4 linked regions of the Drosophila melanogaster genome follow. The protein of the gene in region 4 interacts with the protein of the main gene of each other region in a pairwise test. Each region holds a gene or a part of one and is shown on either strand. Other genes may lie near its edges.

The links.
Region 1: the proteins of CG43736 (region 4) and Poxn interact in a two-hybrid assay, tested with the Drosophila melanogaster proteins (one large-scale study listed by BioGRID).
Region 2: the proteins of CG43736 (region 4) and CG31639 interact in a two-hybrid assay, tested with the Drosophila melanogaster proteins (one large-scale study listed by BioGRID).
Region 3: the proteins of CG43736 (region 4) and bowl interact in a two-hybrid assay, tested with the Drosophila melanogaster proteins (one large-scale study listed by BioGRID).

What each region holds. Positions count from the first base shown.
Region 1 is NT_033778.4:15,831,412-15,837,276, reverse strand, and holds the start of Poxn (Pox neuro), read left to right. Parts: upstream 1-2,221; 5' UTR 2,222-2,594; intron 2,595-5,763; 5' UTR 5,764-5,865. UniProt on the Drosophila melanogaster protein: Transcriptional regulator that specifies poly-innervated organs (chemosensory bristle). Also controls the number of neurons.
Region 2 is NT_033779.5:6,153,036-6,157,287, forward strand, and holds CG31639 (uncharacterized protein), read right to left. Parts: upstream 2,107-4,252; 5' UTR 1,914-2,106; intron 1,861-1,913; 5' UTR 1,841-1,860; coding exon 1,664-1,840; 3' UTR 1,609-1,663; intron 993-1,608; 3' UTR 805-992; downstream 1-804. Other genes in the region: Muc26B (mucin 26B), read left to right, coding at 1-491.
Region 3 is NT_033779.5:3,769,500-3,775,402, forward strand, and holds the start of bowl (brother of odd with entrails limited), read left to right. Parts: upstream 1-2,200; 5' UTR 2,201-2,374; intron 2,375-2,420; exon of another isoform or gene 2,421-2,516; intron 2,517-2,526; exon of another isoform or gene 2,527-2,817; intron 2,818-2,961; 5' UTR 2,962-3,195; intron 3,196-5,903. UniProt on the Drosophila melanogaster protein: Putative transcription factor. Required for leg joint formation, acting downstream of Notch to pattern the leg tarsal segments. Functions in the terminal pathway during embryogenesis, acting downstream of tll in the posterior of the embryo.
Region 4 is NC_004354.4:6,866,219-6,871,780, forward strand, and holds the start of CG43736 (uncharacterized protein), read left to right. Parts: upstream 1-2,008; 5' UTR 2,009-2,562; intron 2,563-3,042; 5' UTR 3,043-3,171; coding exon 3,172-4,773; intron 4,774-5,562.

The sequences.
Region 1 (5,865 bases), on a different chromosome or scaffold from region 4:
TAGAGATCTGTTTGCAACGAAACGAGCTTGATCTATTTGAATTATAGGGTACTTTCTCTTCGAGTTGTATCCTTTAACAGTTTTTTACAGCCCAGCTAAACGCACTTCCCACACAGATTTGTGTGTGTGCGCCTTAATTGGGGCGTAGTTGGCTTTTTGGGCGCGCCGACCCGGAGTTTGGGTAATTGCTGCCACTTGAAAGGCTCCGGGTCGCATAATCGCCTTGTCAGATAGGGCAAGACACACGTTGAAGGACCCGCGGAGGGGGTGGCCCATGAACAAGCATACTGGGCGTTGGGCGTGGCCAGTTGGGTGGGCCAGTGGACTGAAGGACCAAAGGACTCTGTGCCAAAAGAGACAGAGAGGTGTGTGTTGATGCCACCACGCACGGTTGACTCGCTTGATCTTATTACGCCGCGCTTGGTTGCCTGGGAAAAGTCAGAGGCAGCTGCTCGGATAGCTCGGATGGCTGGTAAATGGCAAATGGTTACCGGCAACCCGGCCTTTGTGACAGTTTTATCTCTGGCCAGCAGAAGCTATTGCCAAGCTCTTGCCATCCTCCTGCCATGGGAAAGCCATCGCGCTGAGTGGGCCTAAGAATTTTGCATGTTTTCGCACAGGTTTTTGTGGTTTTTGGTAGCAAGTGGATTTGCATACGCCACGCGGCTCCAAAAAACGGGTTAGGCTTTAGCCAGTCTTGGTGGATCAGGAGTTCCCCCTGCTAGGGACCATTGATTTCCTAGTCATGGCAACTAATTTCCATTCATCATGTTCGGTACCTCGAATGGATCAATAATCCGGACTCCTCCCTTGGAACAATCACAAACAATGTGACAGCTTTATCTTTCAGCACCAGTCGCCGTCGCAGTGAAAATCCATTTCCAATTGTGAATGCCGAGCGACAATTGTCGAATTCAATTAACGCCTGCGGCACCACCGAGCGTTACTTAACGCCGACACCCACCCAACGACCTCCGCCTCCTGCCGCTCCTCCTACTCCTCCTCCTCCTCCTCTCCCCCGGGAGTTTCCAGCGGGTGGGCAAGGACGAGCCGTAGCTGTGGCCGTAGCTGTGGCTGTTTCGCCAGGGTAACGGCTATGCAGTGTCACAATGCGGATGTGGATGTGGATGGGGTCCTTGGAGTGGGCGAGATACATACACTATCAGTTTCTATGAACCACACGATGCAGGACGTGGGCGGGGGGCGGGAGTGAGAGCGTTTGCGTGCTGCGTTGCCTCCGCCGATTGGCCGGAACGCGGCTGCAACGGCAACGCATCGGCTGCGGAAACGGCCACGGATAAGGCTACGCTCTGCCGCAACGCTCTCTGGCCGGAACTCGCCGACCATCCACACCAAATTCTACTACCCCCAGAGCGTTCACAGAGCGAAGGCGGGCTGCACGGACGTCATGCAATCGCACAGTGGAGCAAAAGTTGCAAGCTGGATTGTACTGAACTTGCTCGGTTTTTGCTCATAACATTAAGTTTGTGTACCAAGTTAGAAAAACAATTTTGACACTAAACTATTAGTTTCAAATCAGGTGGCTCATTCTTAACATTTCAAAGTAGCTTTAATGTAAAAGGTCATGGTATCATGCTTCTATAAGGTTTCCTTTCTTCCCAAATATATTACAATGTAATCCTAAAAAGTTTTGAACTCTTAAATCACAAAGATAGTTTAGTTAGCTGCACTTGAGTATCATCACAATTTTTACTACTAACCAACTAATCAACTAACCAGATTAGCAATGTTTATCTACAAAGGTAACTGCGTATTAGTCACTCTCTGAATATAGTGGCTTTACGTAATTACCCCTAATTTCAATGCGGTTTTCTATGCTGTTGAAATCGACCTAGCCCACTAGCCTCTAGCTTCACACTTGACCCACTGTGCCCGTGTCGATTTCGCTCCCGGAGGACGTGTCACCTGGCCCCCACCCCTGCTGCCGAATCTGGCCAATGGCAGCTCACCGTCGGCGCAGCGTGCGACGCATGCGCACCGGGCCAGCTCTCTGATTGGCTCTCATTGGCTGGCGGTGGGCCAAATGGGGCTGAAACCGACGCGGACGTCGCAGCCGTGAAAAACCGGTTACACCAGAAAAACGGTTCGTCCGTGAGTCCGTGAACGCTTGTGTCAGTGTGTGCGGGCCGCGTATTACGAGTGTGTTAGTGAGCGGCGGCTTTTCGGTGGCGTTTTGGGCCGCTCTGCTTGGCGGCGCTTCAGTAGAAATTGTCGGCTGATGGACCGCGGGCGAGGCACGAAGCCAACTCTCAATTTCCACTGCTACCGCCACTGCCACTGCCACAAAAATTGATCGAATCGATGCGCCGGTCCCGCGATTCGCGTGCAGTTAGTCGAATTTTTGACGGTCGAGTGACAAGGTGCGTCGCGTTCCGAACTCCCAAATAAGAATCATACAGAAGCCATTAGCCGTCGCGCCTCCGAACTGAGTAATCGGCCATTATCCGCGGAATAAGCCACACGGTGCATGCAAAACTCGAGCGGAAAGTGTTGTGCTCAAGTGATCAAAGGATTCGAACCAAGTTGCGGCAAAGTTATTGGATAGCCGGCGAATTCAGTGCTCTAAGTTTAAGGTGAGCACATCTTTTGAATTATATATTTCAAAAGTATAACCATCTAGGAAAGATACTATTCATGGAAGATTATCCGTTTTTGGTCAAGCTTTTATGCTTGCACAACGTTTTTAAATTGAGCTTCACCAAGTTATGTTGAATTGGTAAAGTTTAAGTGTTCATTTGCTATCTAGATTATAAAAAATAGAACATAAAAAGATAAAAAACTAGCAGATTCAAGTATCTGTTATAATATTCCATAGATCGTTTATAACGAATTGTCATTATTATTGGCATAAATTAGTTAGAATACATTTGCTTGGATCTGAAAATAAATTTGAGCTTTTATTTGAATCTGCTTCATTAAATGAAATTAGATGACAACTTTATTAGTTCACTGACAAGTTTTTAGATTGTATATTTTGTTGATTTGGATTTTACGCCAGATGTGCTATCTCGTTTTCTACTCGAGACCAGATAAGCTTAATTGAACTTGGTGAAAAGTGCACACATTGCATTTTGAGTGCAGACACATTCTAATCCGTAATATTATGCCAACACTTGACAAAAGCTAACGACGATGACTTATCGGCGTCTTAATTAAGATCTGGTCGCATCCATCGACCTGCCCATAATGACCACCATAAACGATCGTAATCAATTTGTTTGCGCATAATTTGCTTTCTCAACAACTAAATCATTAAAAATCGAGTCGCTCCCGATCAGGTTGCGGCGTTTTTGAAAGACTTTAATAACGATATTTGCTTATCGAGTTCGACACATCGGTCTCAAGTCCGACCTCGTCCCCCCAGACCCAACGCCCTGCCATCGATCGGCTTATTTCTTAATGAACGACGATCTGATCTAACGGATCGAGTCTGAACGGAACCAAACGGGGCGATCTTCATTCAACCGGCGGCGTTAGTTTCGGCCAAGATTCGATTCCAATAATATTCGAATAATATTCATGTTGTGAATGAAGTGGAAGATGCCACCGGATGGCCTGAATCGAATTTGCAATGCAAAACTACGGCCAATTGAACTTCCGCCGCACCGAGATAACTCATTTAAAGCGGACCAATCGATCGTTGGCCAGACTGCCAACGATCGATGACTGCCTTTTTGGCCAGACTTTAGTTTTCCCACGACCACGGCGAGCGACAAAAGTCAAAAATCGTATGCTAATTAATTCTTTGTCATGCCGTCGTTTCTGGCTGCCATTATGGCCCATTGACTTGTGTGCTTTCTAAGCCAAAGCCCAAGCCACCGGCTTTCGGGGCTTTTGGCCATCGGCAACGAGGCAACGAGCCGTCGGACAACTTACTTAAGCGTGGTCCAGAAAGAGCAAGCTAATCATATTCAAATGGTGAAGCGTACGTTTTATTATAATTTTTTTATTTTAATTAGCGGCTGTTAATGCCCCGCTTGGCTCTGGCTTCGATCGATCCATTGATCTGCGGGGGGGGCAGCAAATGATAAAAAATAAAATCAAGGGAGAGGGTTCCGAAACAGAAGCTCGGCCAACCTGTCGGTTCCACTTTCGGTAATCGCACGAATTTAAATTATTGTATGTTTAACTAATTTCTATCGGTTTTTATGTCTGTTCCGCTTGACATGTGCACGGAGCTAATTGAGACTTACGAGTTGAGGATTGTGGAGAAATCGGTAGCACTTGGGGAAGATACTAATTATACTCGTATATTATCCCCCCTGAAAACCAGAAAGCGGTTCTCGAGAACCCAGATTAGCAACATCCCTATATATATAACTCGCAATTTGGCCTCAAGATCGCATTCAACATTTAAAATTGTAGCCGTTGTGGATCTGGAAAAAACCTTTGCTACGCGTTCACATTTTATAAGGTCTCTTAAAATTAGAGGGGATTTTTTGGTCTCACCAGATACTTTGGATCACTGCTTGTTAGTTAGATTAGATATATTTCCAAAAGTAATACCTCAAATTTAGGTTTTTGTGTTCTGCAAGATACATTTTTCAGCATTCTAAGGATGGATCGTACCCAATAATTGATAATTAACACGTGTAGAAGTGGCAAAGCAAGTGGAATAGTCGCATATTTCTAGGGGTTGCTACTATGTCCGGAACTATTTAGTTTTGACTGCTCACTGGCCTCGATTGGGCCACGAAAAATTCCAGAGAAATGGGCGAGCAGCACGCCAGAGGGGAAATTAACCCTTTCATTGCGGCCAAATTGGATTTGGCCGGAATGTCTATTTCACTTTCTACAAAACCGAGTGGATTTGCAATCCTTATCGCACTGTCGGCCAAATCGTGGCCCCGGGCCAACTGCTAACTTTATGGCCTTAACGGCCAGCACGAGTTTCCCGTTCGCGGTGAGTGGTAACCGAAAAACTGAGACGGAGACTGAGAAGGTCCAAAAAAAACCTAATGAACAACTTAATTTCGAGTTCTTTTTTTCTCGTTCTGTTTGGTGTTTTTTCCGTTTTTTTTTTTTATTTCAAAGGGGGAGTGTGTGGTGCGTGCGGTGGTTCGGTGGCTTAACACGCGCATTTCGGTGGTTTTACGAGCTGAAAAGCGGCAAGGGAGCTGGACGAAGGACTCCCGGGCTCGGCAATTAAATCAAATGTGAATTCCATAATAACATGGCCATGACAAAGTGTGGACCGTCGGCCGGCAGTGGCAGTTACAGTTTTTGATTTATACGGTTCTTCAGCGCGTTTTCATGCCTCTGACAGGCTGGCGACAGGCTCAAATCCTGGCCCAAAAAGCATTAAGTAGAAAAAAAAAAAAAAAATAAAAACAGGAAGCGGAAACCACCGGCCGCAAGTTGGTGGTGCTGAAAGCCCATTTGCATATCTCTTTTGGGCCGGTTGCATATTTAACGAAATGAGCAATTGGCCAAAATTCATTTAATTGTTACCCCTGCCTGGCTAACTCTATACTTAGGAGTACGACTATAGCGACCTGGCCTAGATGGAGGGGGGGGGGGGGACCTTCTCGATAATGGGCCAGCAGTTCACGCTGCGCTCGGAATGTGCCTGATAAGCAGCTAATTTGAGATACTCCCTGGCACTGGGCGCTGGGCAATGGCCAGTGGTAACTGGTCACTGGTCACTGGACATGGCCATTGAGCACATAAACCACTGCACATTAAAACCTTCGGCCGCGTAGTTTTATAAAATAATTAAGTTTTATGTATTTTCCTTACTAGATTTTCACTGGTTTTTGGTTTTGGTCTTGGATCGGATCGGTTCTGGCCGGGCCTGGACGCCGTCCGAATTCGTGGAAGCCGTAAAAAGTCTTCGGGGAGTGG
Region 2 (4,252 bases), on a different chromosome or scaffold from region 4:
GTGCACCAACAACCACTACAACCTGTGCACCAACAACCACAACCACGTGTACACCAGGTATTACAACTACGACATGTACACCAGCAACCACAACAACCTGTGTACCAGAGACCACAACAAGCTGTGCATCATCAACAACGACAACAGAATGTGGACCCGTAAGCGGAGTCTCCGGATCTTCGAAGGCGAGGCCATCGTCTGTGAAAGTGCGACCAGCGAGACCCGTGCGCCCTGCCGTTCGTCCCGCATTGGAAATCGATGAACTGTCGGCTCCCAAAGCCCAAGAGCTAACCATGTCCACCTATACAAAATACGTGTGCCGCAACAAGCCAGATGGCTTCATGTTGGCCTCCCTGAAGAGCTGCTCCGACTACTATATCTGCCGATATGGAAAGCCACTGTTGGTGAGCTGCGGCGATAAATACTTCAACGCTCTGAAGGGCATTTGCGATCTGCCCGAGAACACGCGTTGCGTGCAGCCACAAGCATAAAACTTGACGATGGCTTCCTAATCGAAATCACCAACGAATAGCACTACCTGACCCCACCTTGATATTTGTGCCCGATCGATTCTTTATCATATTTACTAAAATTTCAATATATGCAAAAGCTAATACAAGCTTAAAAAATAAATCTAAAGTATCCGTACTCCTTTTAGTTCAAAGCTTAATAAATACGTGACAACGCATTACATTCAATTTAAACCCCATAGTAAAGAGAAGAACAGGCTGCAAACATACTTTTAGCCACCAGCTATTTGCCAAGACACGTCTGGCAGTGGAAAGAACAAAGGTGCAAAGGCACAAGATGTGTTCTAGCTTTTTCAACATTTTATGTAAAAGGCTTAAGCGGATTCGCGAAAGGATTGGTGGACAAATTTGTTAGGGGCTGCGATTTCCATCTGCCTTTCCCCACATTTTATTATGGTCTTTAATGAAAACAACGGGAACATATTTTTATTATGCTATCCAATGTAATTGCCATTGTCCGAGCTGAAAGAAAAGGATGTTGATTAGATGGTGCTTGTAAGGATATGGTTATTGTATAGAATAGATTTATAGATATATGTTGGGCCATATGTGTTGATATATTACTGAACGAAATTTCTTTTCCAGTTGGCTAGAATCAATGGGGACTGAATGTCGAAAGTCAAAGCTCGCACAGTAGGCGGTCAAAAATCAGTGCCAATAAACAAGGAACAGGAATGAAAAATTCGCAATAAAGCCAACACATGGCCCTCTTTCCGCGCAGCCCGTTTACAGCTCCTCGCTTTTTCGCGTTCTTTTTGGAAACGGAAACGCTTGCCAGGTCTGTAAAATAAAATCGGCTTTACCCTTTTGCAAATGCAGCTGAAGAATTCAAATTAGAGTTTTGATTACAATCGAACGCCACAGCCGCCGCCTCCGCCTGGCTTTTTGCAAAAGATTTATTGAACTGCCACGCCCCTCGAACACGCTAACCGCTCCCCTTTCTCCCACCCCCATCAGCCACCCGCATCCACCGAAAGTCGGTGAAATTTTTATTACCAACGCGCGGCACATTGTTTTGGGCCGTAAGAAAATTTCAATTTGCCCAGCATCCCACACACGAACGGCGTAACGTACTCACCTGGTATTAAATTTCTTGGGGAATGGCTCACACGTTTCTGATATCCTTCTGAAGCCTAGCAGGTGTACAAGCCATACGGCCAACACGCTGGGCCGCTTGGTCCGCATCCACTGGGTCCACAGCAGGAATAGGGTCCTAGCGAGAGGGCACAAGGACTACACCAGGGTCCGCACCATGGTCCGCAAGGACCCGAAGGTCCATAGCCATAGGGACCGCATCCATAACCGCACATATTGTTGCTTCGGGCAGAGGCTACTTTATAGAAACACACCTTCGTCGTATTTTTTTTTTTATTCAAAACTCACCTAGGCTTCACGGATTCAGAAACGGAAAAACTTAAGGTGTTAACTTGGAATTTGGATAGTGAATTTTTATTCAGAGATTTTCAGTGCTGTTTTGGCCTGACTAGAGAGCTCCAGATAAAAATTCCAACTGATCGTTCACTAGCAACATACCTATTGAAGTAGAAAGTTCGACTTGAGTCCTTTTTCATGGCATACTATAGATGTTATTAAAGTAAAGTTAAGTTGGGGAACAGAATATGGAATCTTTTCAGCAAAGGAGTATGCCAAATATGTCGAGAATTATACATTATTTATGTGCTTAAGATTTATGGCTAAATGGTAATGATACAGCATAAGCATTACAGTTGGTAACAAATTCATATTGCTTTGTCCTGTCTAGAAGCCGTGTACTGTAACCTAGTTGCCACATAAAATTGCGCGGATTATACCCCCAATTGTGAAATGCAAAGTTTGGGTTATAAGCAGCCTGGTGCCTCCGGCGAAGCCGAAGGGATGCCGGAATGTAAGAATTGCCGGAGCAATTAGGAATGAAAATGCCGCGGATCCCATAAAAATCAACGAGCCGAGAGTGTTAAATTTAATAATACAATAACCAAATTGGCTCAGGGATCTTTAAATTTGGAAATTTAAATTAACAACGACCGTTAGGAAGCAAAGCTCCAATCAAAGCTAACTCCAGTTCGGCGGTGGTGGGTTCATCGAGCCCAGATTCGGTAGACTCGACCGGGTGGATGAATGGGTGGGTGGTTGGTTGAAGGGCAACAGCTGCCAGGATCTCCCCTCTCTCTGGGGATAAATTAGTGGTTTTGGTCTCTAATATAGTCGTCTGCTCGAATGCCCCTGCCATTTGTCATTTGTCACCCCTGGCGCCTGGCGCCGTTTTCTTGCCGCACTGATTTAATATTTATTTTATTAATTCAAAATTAACATAAAAAATTTTCGGAAATATTTTGACACTTGGCCTTCGCATGCCGAATCCCCATCCCAAAAAATCCGGGGCTTGTGGGGGTTGGCTTGTTATTATTTTGACACTTGCCAAACAATTGGCATGCGAAATGAAAACCCAGCTGCCTCCAAGGAGCAACAAAAAGAACAGAACGACGTCGGACTGAGGGAAAATTTTATTATGGAATTTCGTAAATTAAATATTTACACGACAGCTGTGCGAAGGTCTTAAGCCTGTTCGGGCGCCATTGGGAAGTTTATATACATGGCTTACCCTCGTTGATTCAATATTTTGCTTGGGCAATAATTGAATTTAATAGATGACTGGGACATTCCTTTGGAAATGTGGTTGTGAAGAGGCGGTAGTGCAGTTATATAGTCAGTTTTCTTTCCGTTACGATTAGCTCTTTAAGGGCAATAATTTAATTACCCCAAGAAGTCAGCTAACCAAAGTCAACAGCTAAATTGGGCGCTGGAAAATAAAAACAAAAGTAAATACTTCACAAGCAAGAAAAAAAAGAAAAAAGCGAAGGTGCGGAGCGAAAACCATTTGAAACGAGCAACGTAAACTCGCTGAATGTTGTGTCACTAATTCAGGTAATTTGTCACTTTATTTACATTTTAAATGAATGCCGCGCTGTTTGTTGTTGCTGGCAGAGAATGGTGTGGTGGCTGGGGTGTTGGTGCTTCTGGTAAGGACAGTAAGTAACCGAGAGAAAACCAATTTCCATTTTCATTTTGCGGGAAACGCAGCAAACGGAAGACAAAAACAAATGAGTAGCTGACGTGCGGGCCAAAGCACGAAACACGGCATACAGAAGCAGAAAAAACCCTTTTCCTGCTTCGCCGCCTTCTTGGCCAAAGGACCTTTCACCACCCTCCTACTCCTCAACCAACCAACACTTGCACACACACACACACACACACAGAGAGAGACAAAGTGTCGAAGCCAAAGGACAGGCGAGTAAAAAGGACTCGGCCACGACCAAGAAATGCGATTAAAATTTGAACATTGAGGCAAAAGGCAAAAGACGCTTTTGTGGCAACCGTCACAGTCGTGAGTCGAAGGATCCTGTCCTAATTTGAATGAAGTGGCAACATTGATAATAGCCCGCTTCTGCCGGAGAAGTCCTTATGCCGTCTCTCGCAGGTATCCTTTTTTTTTGGTACTAAAAGAACCAATACCTCAGTAAACACTTAAAAAGACCTTTGCAGAGGTCTTATCAACCTGCAGTAATAACTAAAAAAATTAAAATTGTAATAAACACTTTGTATTGCTGCTAATTGTGGGTATTGTTCTTTAAATATGTGTTATCAACATGGAGCGTATTTCTTGATTTCTTTTCCTAAAAGTATGCTATTCTAAATTGTACATCTTCACATGAAAACTGATT
Region 3 (5,903 bases), on a different chromosome or scaffold from region 4:
TAAAAAATATACCAAGAACAAATGACAAATGTGCCTCTTGCTGACAGCCCGGGGGCATTGAAATGCATCTAAACATCATTAATTTGGCTCAACGATCCGATTCCCATTGGAACCCGATTCAGATTCGGATATGGTCCCAGGCCCAGCCCAAAAGTATCAAACACACCAGCTACCTGCTGGGGCCAACGAAGCATTTCGAATGCGATCAATGAACCTGTTGCTTTTGGCCCTCTAGCTACAAACTACCAGCTGAACTCCGAGTTGGCCACATGTTTTACACAAATTTCAAGTAATTTATTTTAAAATCGTAAAGCGATGCAAAATATGCAAGGAGGGAAGCCACTTCAACCGACGGGCACTCAGAAAAATCACAACGATCTTATGGTTCGCATTAGCATATATATCTTATTTGTACATCTTTATTTTAAGCAAAAAGAGCAAGGTAAGGGTTAGATATTAGATATTATTATTAAACAATAGTCAATTTCAATTTTATGTATTGTGGAATCCAATTATAAGGGAGACCAATTATGGTAATTATTTATTTTATTTCTTATTTACTTATTGTTATTTATATATGCTGAAAATTATTTTCCGAGTGCAGCAAGAGCAACAGTTGTTGATGGGGGAAGTCGACGACGACTAGCATAACAATTCGCTCGCCCTATGAGGCAGCTACCGTTTTTCCGTCTTCTCTTTTCTACCACTTATTTCTGGTCTTCTGCCTGTTGCCGCTTTGTATCTCCATTTCCACTTACTGTTTTTGCAGTGGCAGCAGCCACAATTTAGTTCCACTGTGCAGCACCTTAATTACATGGCTACGGACTCTCTTTTGTTGGGTACTTTTCGGGTTTTTCTTTTCTGCATCTCGGAATCATTACGACCATGATCACCGTCGTGGCCGAAACGTAACTCCCTCTACTTTTGGGACCCTAGCTGATTTTTGGTCTTTTTGTTAACGTCTTTTCTTTTACCACTTGACCGCATTGATGCTGCATTGCGAGCAGAGGTTGCCAGATTGTTAGAATAGAAATTTTACAGTCTATTATAATAATATAAGACCTATTTACATAGCCTAGCTCGAATCAATCATTTACCTATGTTTTATTTTTTTCCAAGTTCCCGTGCTCGCCTTCTTTTATAAGGACTAATTACCATTAATAAAAGTCAGTCTGGCGATAAGATGGTTTCTAGACTTATATTGTTTTACGACCTATTTCCATAAATGAATTGTATAACTCGGCTGCCGATTAATCATCAGTGTATATTTAAATACATATGTATAAATATTTTTCCCTAAAGCTACCAACTAATTATTCCAAATAAATATTTACTTATCAGTAGAACATTGGAACTTGTCATAATATAGATATATAGTCGTGTGAGTAATGCACTTTATTTCACCCCAACTTTCGACTTGGCAACCCCTTCTTCGAAGAAACCTTATCACCTTGCCTCCCTAAAAATGCTTTCTGATTAGTCATTCCCCTAAATGAAACCGCAACAAAAGCCGAAGAACAAAATACACCCCCACTAAAAAGGCATAACAATAAACAGGGAACTACCAGAGTTACACCCTCCTCCTCCTTTTCGGGTGAAGCCACCATAACGATCCATGGGCAGCAGCAGCAACGGCAATCTGGCAACACCCGGGCCAATTGTACCCTACCCTCTCGACTGGGCCAAAAAAAAAAAAGCAGTCGGTGGTAGTCGGTAGTCGGTCGGTAAACAGGTAGCGCTCTAACTGACAATAACTCGTCGTACGAATGCACGTTCCACGCTCCGCCAGTGCCAGTCTCCATATAAGTCCGTCCACGGGCCCATCCGTCCATTTAGCAGCGTGCGACTGGCGGCCGGTTGGGTTTGGGTTGAGTTCGGTTTAATTCCTCTCCTCCACTGAAAGAAATGTCGTACTATATTCAAACTGAATATAAGTTACTAGTTAATTCAGAAAAATATGTAAATGCATCCATTATTTATCTAGTATATTTAAGCAGATAGATTTATACTGTTGTTATTTACAGAAAATTAGAGCCTTACTCTTCAGATATTTAAGAATTGTTAAAACTTTTTCCACAGTGCACTAAGCTGGTTTTAGTGCCACTGCTCGCTACTCGTCGCTTGTCTCTTTCTACGCATTTCTCAGCCCGCGATTCTCTCGATTCTCTCTTTTTCCATTCGGGCCCTGTTTCTTGGGTTCGTGGCTCAGTCTTCGAGAGTTGATCGTGGCCAACGCACCTGCGCGCGGATCGCTGGTAATAGCTGTTGGAAAAGTGAACTGCATTGTGAGTGCCTCTCGCTCTATATCTATCTGTATCTTTCGCCGCCGATGTATCTTATTGAGCGGGCCCAGAGCGCTAGTGTGTGTGTGTGTGTGAGTGAACTTGTTGCATCGCCAGTTGCCTCGAGAAAAGCGCTTTTCAACTGCAACTGACTCTGTGTGTGGGAAGAGTTTGGGACTACTTGAGGAGCGAATTGGTAGCTGCACTGGCTTCAGCTCCTATTTCAAACAAAATGTAGAAAAACACATTTCAGCTGCCGTGTATCTCTCGTTCTCGTTCGGTTTTCAGTTCGTTGAGGTTGAGGTTTCGGTTCGGGTTTTTCTTCGTTCGGTTTTCATATCTGTGAGATACAAATACATCGTGTGTTTGTGCGCGAGTTGTACGTGGATTTTGGAAGGAAAAAAACTACGTGGTTTGTGGTAGCTGACTGCCGTTGATGCTGCTGCTGCTCCCGTAACCGCCCCCCTGCCGCCCCCTCAGCCCCACCCCCTGGGGCGATCGTGCCGTGATTTGAATCTCAAAATTGTCCCTTAGTGTGCGTGTTTTTTTAAATACATTTACTTGAGAATGATTCGGTGAAATACTTGTTAAAATTAAAATCAAACCTGAAAATATAACAAAAAATTTCCGACAAATATTTTGAAAATTTTAATAAAATTATTTACTTTTAAATTCACAGAATCGTATTAACAGAAGTCTTCAAACAAATACAACAAGAAAAAACAACATACAATTCAAGTGCCACTTAAATGATATAAATTACTACTTTAAAAACCAAAAACAATGCCAAGCATTTCAAAGCTTACAAACTGACAAAAAACCAGCAAAATCATATTGAAACAACTACTTGGATACTTTAGGACGCAAAGATAAAGCCCAAAGAGCCTGGGGCTTTCTTCTGTTTAACCCACAGGTAAGATTCCGCCGAGAACAGGCCCTGCCTTCCCAGATGAACACAAAAATTCCACACCACTTATTTTTACTTGTTTTATTTTTTGTTGTTTTTTTTTTTGTTTTCTGTTTGTGGCGTAGGGCTAGCTAATTACGTTTATTATTTTTTTATTTTGGTATTTTTTGCGTTGGCCAAAAAGGCAGCGAGTACAAAAATATAACGAGTACGCAGACAGAGAAGGAGAGAGAGAGAAAGACCCAAGATATATCTCAAAACCTGCTCCACAAATAGAATGAGACGGGGCGAAAAAACAGGAAAGAGAGCGCAACAACGTTGGCGGTTGGCGGACTGTCGACCGACAAGCGGCTTCCACTACAACTGCATGTGCCACTGTCATTGCCACTGAACTCAGTGTGGTGCCGCACAGTCCACGGTGGAGTACGTCCCCCATCCCCCCGCAAACTTCCCCACCATCCTGAACCACCCGCTTGCCCCATTGTTGTTGCTGTGGCGCTCAGTTCGAGTTGGTCGGTTCGAGCCGGACTCGAAAAACCTTCGCTTGGAATTCTGGGGGTCTCTTATGGGTGCTCTTGGTAAGGGTACTTCGTTTGAAAATGGTGTACACAATTTGTAAAATATTATTTAAAAATATTAATCGGTGTTAATAACGTTACATTTCTGAAAAACTTTAATTTTACAGAATTTCAAAGCATCGCGTTAGGTTTTAAAAATATATTTTACGAAATTTAGGCAAACTTAGTTTAATAAGCTGATAGTTTATAAGCTTCTTATTTATTCCAGTGTTTTTTTTTCAACAAGTCTACTCTAGTTTGATCTATAGTATTATTTACTTATTTTGCCTAGGGTATTAAGTGCATCGGCTTTATAGATCGTGATTTTTCACATGTTTCTTTCATTTCTGTTTCTTTTCTTTGTAAACCAGTTCACTTGTAGCCAGTGCCAGTGGCCAGTGGTCGCTCTCGCCGTCTTTTTCGCTCCTTCTCGGCTTGGAATCCGGTTTTTTTGGTTTTCTGTTTTCGGTTTTCGGTCGTGGTCGCTGTCTTAACTTGGCTCGATTCAGATTCGGAGCTCGGCTGGGGCTTTAATTGTCCAGAACGTGTGGCCAAAGAGGAAACGCAATTGCCGCAAGCTTCTGTTGGGTTCAGATACCGATTCGGATTCGGATTCAGCCTCAACCTCAGACCATCATCATCATCGTCATCTACATCTCTTGATTTCTTTTAAATGCTTTACTTTTTCCTTCATTTTTAAGCTTTTTTTTTGTAGAACGCCTCCCGCGCTCTCACAGTCTGAGTTATTATTATTTTTTTTTTGTATTTTTTGGTTGCGGTTCTATAAAGTTATTGGCTTTTGTTTCGCCTCAGTGGAGATCTATTTTGGATATTCATTGTCTTGCTTTATGGGCCATTTGGTTTTGTGTCCAAAAAGAGTTTTAGCATAAGAAAGGGAGTACCATAAAAGTTTATTACGCTTTACCTCTTTGGGTGGGTTTTCCTCTCCATCTTGGGCCACCAACTATCATTTTTCGGTTGCACCAGCAGCAGGGGAAAATGTTGCTGGTAATTGCCTTGTGGCAGGAAAATTGAAATCGAAATTAATTAAAATCGTGACAAAATACTTGATGAATTTAGATTTACCATAAAACCGCAGAACAATGGCTCGTTAGGGATCGCCATATTCGGGTTTTAAATTGAAATGGCTATATGGACACGCCTCGTTTTGGCACGTGTGTATAATTCACCTGATAGACCAGTTCATTTATTGTTGTTCTGGAACGGGAACTCATCAATTTTGATGGGGAAATTAGATGTTGTCTAGGGAATATGAATTTTTAATGCTATCAATGAAATCAGACAGCGGAAAGGTGATTATCAGTTTACATGTTTAGTTTTGGGCTGGGTTCCAAAAGTTGTCGAAGAAAAAAATATATAAATAATTTGTACCAAGATTTGTGTGCAATTAGCATAATCCAATTGCATTTGAATTAATAAATCATAGTCTTAGTGCTTCTACACTTATTAGCATAAACTCTTCCAATAAATAAGAATTGACCCATTGAAATTATAACACAATAGATTGCCTGAAAAAGTAGCAATCCGACCAACAAAAGATCTTAAGAGTTCTATTCAAGGGTGAAATTTTTGAATGGATTTAGTTCGAATGAAAGGAGCAGCACAATATGACAATAGAATTTATACGAAGATCGGCTTAGCATTCAAAGTGGATTACTTCAAGAGGGATTAGAAAGAGTCAAAGTTAAGCCGAAATAATTCAATTTTAGGAACTAACTGTCTGAACTTCAGTTAATCCTAAGAAGGTTTCAATTCAAAAAAAAATATTTATTTCAGCAACCAGAGGAATCTGGTTATCTGCAGCTCGCCATTTATCATTTAATAAAAATCCATTGGTGGATATTCTTGCTCACTCCGCGTGCTCCATACTTTAATCATAACAAATCTTTGGTCGTAACTTGAAAGCATTTTCAATTTATGCTAACGACATTATCAATCCTGCTGCAGCTGCATTCCCGAACCCATAAAACTTCATTAGCAGTTGTTCGTTTCCAGATTTCCCCGCGAAATTAGCAAAGCTTTTTAAATTAATGGCCAGCACACACAGGAACGCGGGGGGTGGCGGAGGGTTGAGGTGCAGGGTTCTGGCCAGCACTCCAAATGTGTAAATCTCATGGATATTAATCAAGAAAATTA
Region 4 (5,562 bases):
CTCTTTCTCCCCTTACCCAACCCCTCGCACTTACACCCTCTCTCTCTCACTCTCGTACACTCTTCGTTCGCATCGATGGCGACTGACGATGTCGAATGCGTATGCCCACCACTACAGATGCACATTTCGCACACTTTAACCGTTGCACATAGCCTCGTACATATAGATTTATGTATGTATATGTATATACATATATATCTATGTACATAGTTAAGCATATGACTAAATACGAATACCGCACTATTAGAAGGGGGTTTACATGGCCGTAGAGAAAAAAAAAACAAAAAACATCTTCCACACAAAGTACAAGAAATACCCAAACACACTCACGCACAGCTGACTAATTAGCAAAGCAAAACACCAAAAATCAAAACCCCCACTCAAAATCAAGAGAGATGCCACGAAACAGGGAGCCCGTAGAACGAAAGAATTAAAGAAAGCCACGCACTGGAGAGTCTCGTACCGTACAAACTAAAAAGCCCGGGAGACACCTGAAACCAAAGCCGAGAGATACCAATAAACTGCAGTGCCTTCCATTGACACTCGGCTTTTGAATACCCTAAAAACTGATTGGTGTACTTACGTACATTCATATATAAATTGCGTTTCGGTTTATATTGTGTAATCCTATTACACACATAAGCATATGATTGAATGAAAACAAGTAGAACCTTTAATAGGCTACAGTTGGTTCTAAATAAATTGAAGTGGACATTGCATTAAGTAAAATACATATCACAATGTGTTTTGGCGCAACTGTACGTTTAGTTTTCGGGACCAAATAACACCTGTTTTGATCTGACTGTACTTCGCGGGACTCGTTATTAACTGGCAGTTAACTTTTTAGCCCCGTATGATGGCGGCACAATGGAATTTGACTTGGACTCTTGGACCTGGCTAATTAAATTTTTTTTTTTGGTAAATGTTTAGAGTCGGGGCGACCTTTTGGAGCTGCGCCCGTTCGTGAACTCGTGTATTCGTTTGTTCGTGTTCGTGCTCGGTCGTTCCCGGTTTTCTCTGCCTTCTGGAACGGGGCCTGTCTTGAAAGCCGCAGAGCGCGCGAATACCGAAAACTTCTTGCATTCGACGGTGCGAAAGGGACGGGGAGAGTGATGGCATGTGGGAAAGGGAGAGGGCTAGAGCGAGGAGAGGTGGCCATCGAATGCTAAGCAGGGGCCTTTGCTTTTGCTTTTGGTGCTTGCCAAAAATAGAGCCGCCCCGCCACGCCTTCGCCCACAAAGAGCACCCACCCACCCACTCCCGCACAAAAGCAACAACATCATCATCACACCACCAATACCAAAACCAATACCAATACTGTGACCCAGCCAGCTCTCTGTGAACATGTGTCAGTGTGTGTGGGTCTTGTATATAGCATAGCTTAAGCTTTCCTTGTACCGTGGTTCAAATGCCAGGGGAAAATGGCATTATTATATTCTTATAGAGAAATAATATATACAAATAAATTTGTACAACTGTATGTAAAGAGTAAACATGTAACAAGGAAACACTAATTTTAAAGTAAATTTAGCTAGTTTGCATTATTTTTTACACCATTTATATGAGTAAGCCACAAAGAAGCTTGCCTTTTTTGATCTGCTTGATTCCCAGATGGTGTTACTAAAAAATAATGCGAATTTGAGAGAAAGTTTAACAATAAAAAGTTCAAATTCGAGATACATATGTGTAGAGTATTTAAAGAACTTAATTGTGAGGTTAAATATTCAACAAATGGTAAACTTGTAATCCCATAAATTCGTATTATTTTATAAAATTTTACTTTCATACTGAATTGGCTAAGATCCCTTAATTAATTTCCATAAGTTGCTTATGTCTTAACCACTGTGGGTTGTAACTCTGCAGCTACGTTGACGTCGGCGTCGCAGCTTAGAGCTAGTCGATGAGCGGAAGGAGAGAGAGAGAGCAGGCGTTCGTCGAGGAGGGGGCTAGCCGAATAGGGTGAGAGAGAGCGATGGCAGAGTAGGAAAATGCATAAGAAGGGGGGTGGGGGCGCAAAAGGGAGACGGACAGCAGCAACAACAATTCGGCAAAATGTTCGTGGCAGCGTTGCAGCGACGCCGACTGCGCTACGGGTGTTTGTTTTTTTCTCTTTCGTGTTTTCCGTTTTTCTTTTGCGCTCTGCATCCGCTGCCGCAGTAGGCGTCGCTGCCGGCGCGCTGCGCCAGTGTGGGTGAGCGCACGGCTGTAGGTTTGTGTGTGTGCCGTACACATTTTTCAGTTGACTTCGTTGAAATAATTTTCGTAACAACGATCACACTCGTTTGTGTATTGCGAAGACGGGCGGACGTGCGTCGGCGTCGAATGCGGAACAAGCGCTAAAGCAAACTAGCGAAAAAGTGCGAATATCAAAAGAAAAGAGAACCAAACAAATTGTTTTTTTTTTTCACCACGAGCGTCGTCGCAAAAACAACAAAAAGGAATTTAATAAACCAAAAGCAAACGAGGAGAGAGAAAGCAGCAACTAAATATAACAACAAATGCATTAAATAGTTTTGTTTTTTTTTTTGCCACACTGCCAAAATGCAGTTAGCGTTTGTTTGTGTAAGTGTACCACATGCATACATAATGTATAATTTATATGCCAAAAACAACAACAGCAATAGCATTGTGTGCAAAATGTTGAAATGAGCTCGAAAAACAACAAAAATAAGTGCGCGCATTAACACACGCACACTTGCAAAGGAAAACATCTAAAAAAATTATCACGTGTGTGTGTGTGTGTGTGTGTGTGTGAGACAGCCGGTCAGTGTGACCGTTTGTGTGCCAGAAAGAGAAGGATCGAACAAGCCGGCTGTTTATTTCTTTTATAGTTCTGTTTAAATAACAAATACACTTGCCAAAAGAATTTCATTTTGATGTGTGAATAATTAAAAAAATCAGTAAGACATAATGCAGTCTTTGTTAAATATATATTGACATATATGAGCATATATATAAATACATACACAAATAACATATCAAATTGAAATGCTGGCAGTACCAATCGAACTGTCATCCTAACAAGTAAATTTTTCAATACAGCTCCTAATATAAAACCAAACCAAAAGTGTGGATATCGAAAAGTCTGGAAAAGTACGATAACGCAAGATTACATAGAGCGCGAGCAAGACAGCATTCTAGAGCAAAAGAGCGAGAGTGTGCGGAGGAGCGATGGCCAGCGAGGATGTGCAGATCACTAGCGTCATCGATGCCAATGGCCAGAGCCTACCGCTCCACGGCAACAGTTTGGGCGGTCCCCTGGGACCGCCCGTCAAGCAGGAGCGTCCCGATGACGCCGAGATCCGCGAACTAGCTGCCAAAATGAAGGAGCAGCAGAAGCAACAGGCCGCCCAGCAGGCATCCCGTCAAGCGGCCATGCAGCACTCGAATGGGGGCGCCATTGCGGCATCCTCGGCCGGTGGCAACATGCAGCCGCCGATCACAAATGGCAATGGCCAGACCAATATCATGAACTACCTATCTCGTCATCAGAAACTACCCAACGGCACCATGCAGGTGGTGCCCGCCTTGGCCTCCAATGGCCGCTCGAATGGAGCCGTCAGCGACTCCGGCTCGGACAAGAAGTCCTCCACGGGACCCTGCGACGAGGAGTCCATTCAAGGCCACTTCGGCTGGGCTCAGTTCGGCAAGGTATCCATACCGTACATCTATCGCCAATCGGAGAAGTACTGCTCCGTGCGCATGATCGAACTGAAACTGCTGGGCAAATACCTTAACTGCCTGCATCCGGATATCTACTCCAGCTGCACCTGCGTGCGCAGCTACTACATCACCGATGCGGAGGCCCGTCTCTTCATCGAGATTAATCATAAGCATTGTGACGGCGAGTTCGGTCGCGACATCTTCAACCAAAAGGATTTGGTGGTGCGTCTCAGTGACGCATCCAAGTTCTATCAGTTCCTGGATATTTGCTATAGGAAACTAGTCTCCGGCAGCAAGACGCCGTCGGAGAAGTGCGGCTTTATTCGCATCAACAAGGAGTCCGTGGTGCCCTACACTGTGCGCAACAATCAGCAGGTTGTGCCGCTCTTTTATTTTGAGGGCGAGACCGAGAATCTAAAGACCAAAGCGGAGCTGCTCAATGGCTGGGACCTGGCTTATCTAAAGTTCTGCTGCAAGGTGCAGGGCATACGCAATGAGCTCTTCTCCAGCGAGAACGTGGCCGTGATTTCGCTGACGGACATCAAAAGCTACTTCCCAAATGGCACCGAATTCGAGGACTACTGGCCCAGCAAGGTGGTTGACTCCAATCTGCTCATTGGCAATCGGGCCAATGTCAACAACTCGGTCAATTGGACCCGTCAACCCTCGGCGCCGCCTCCAAAAGTGACCACCTCCGTTTCCGGATCGTCCGGCCCTTCCTCCTCCAGCGGCGGCAACATGGGCCAGAACACATCAGCCGCATCATCCTCCGCGAACACCGCTGGTGGCCAACAGGTGACCTCAAAATCTCAGCAACAGCACGCTGCCTCTGCCGCCGCAGCAGCGGCGACGGCGCATCAACAGCATCTGATGAAGCAACGCGCCGCCGCAGCAGCAGCTGCCGCCGGCGCCAATGGTGTGGCGAATGCGGCAAATAGTTTTGGGGCAGCCGCGGTAGCGGCCTTCAATTCCCAGGCGGCGGCAGCGGCGTCGATGCTCCAGCAGTCGCAGGGCAACAACAGGATGTTATCGCAGGCCACCGTCCAGGCTTTGGCCAGCAGCGGATGGATGTCCGGACAGACAAACCTGCAGCTCCACGCCCAGATGATGGTGAGTTGAGCACTAGGCTAGCTAACGTTTTCCTCCAATTAATGCACAATGTTTATCAAACTTTGGGATATCAAAGCTATTAGCAAAGTTTGAGAAGTAATGCCCAATCGTAATCTGGAATATAATATCAACGTTGCTATGGTATCATTTATTATACCCCAGCTACTGAACAATATTATAGATACAAGATTCTTTACACTCAACCGAATTATCGTTTTTCAAGCCTTATCTAGAAATTCGAGCCTACTTTAGAGTAATGCGAGTCGGTGTTTATGCAATGTTTGTGATATACATTAATCCAGCTCATTTGTGAATTGGCATTTTATTTTATTTCGTAAAATTGTAAATGGATACTTATTTATCACTAAGAGCTACTATTTTATACTAGAATCCTTCGGCTCAAAATCGAAATGAATGACATTTCCGGTACTTAATTGGTTTAACAAATTGTCTACCACTCCATACATTAGTAATGTCACACCCAATGTTAAATTACTTCTATTTTAATGGTATAGTATATTATAAAGTTCAAAAATGAACTGCTTAGAATGGCATTTAAAACTAGTTATTTGACTACCATTGATATAGAAAATCCAGGCCCGACTTTGGTGGAGACCAGTTCGAAAAAGGTGGAAATGGGATGTATTGGGGGTATTTTGGATGTATATGTGTGCGTACGGAGGGATTTCTCTAGAGAGTGCATGGCCGTGTTTTGTTGGCCTTGCTTGTAATGATACACAAACTTACATATGCTAGGCAGTACATATGTACATCGTACACATATATAAA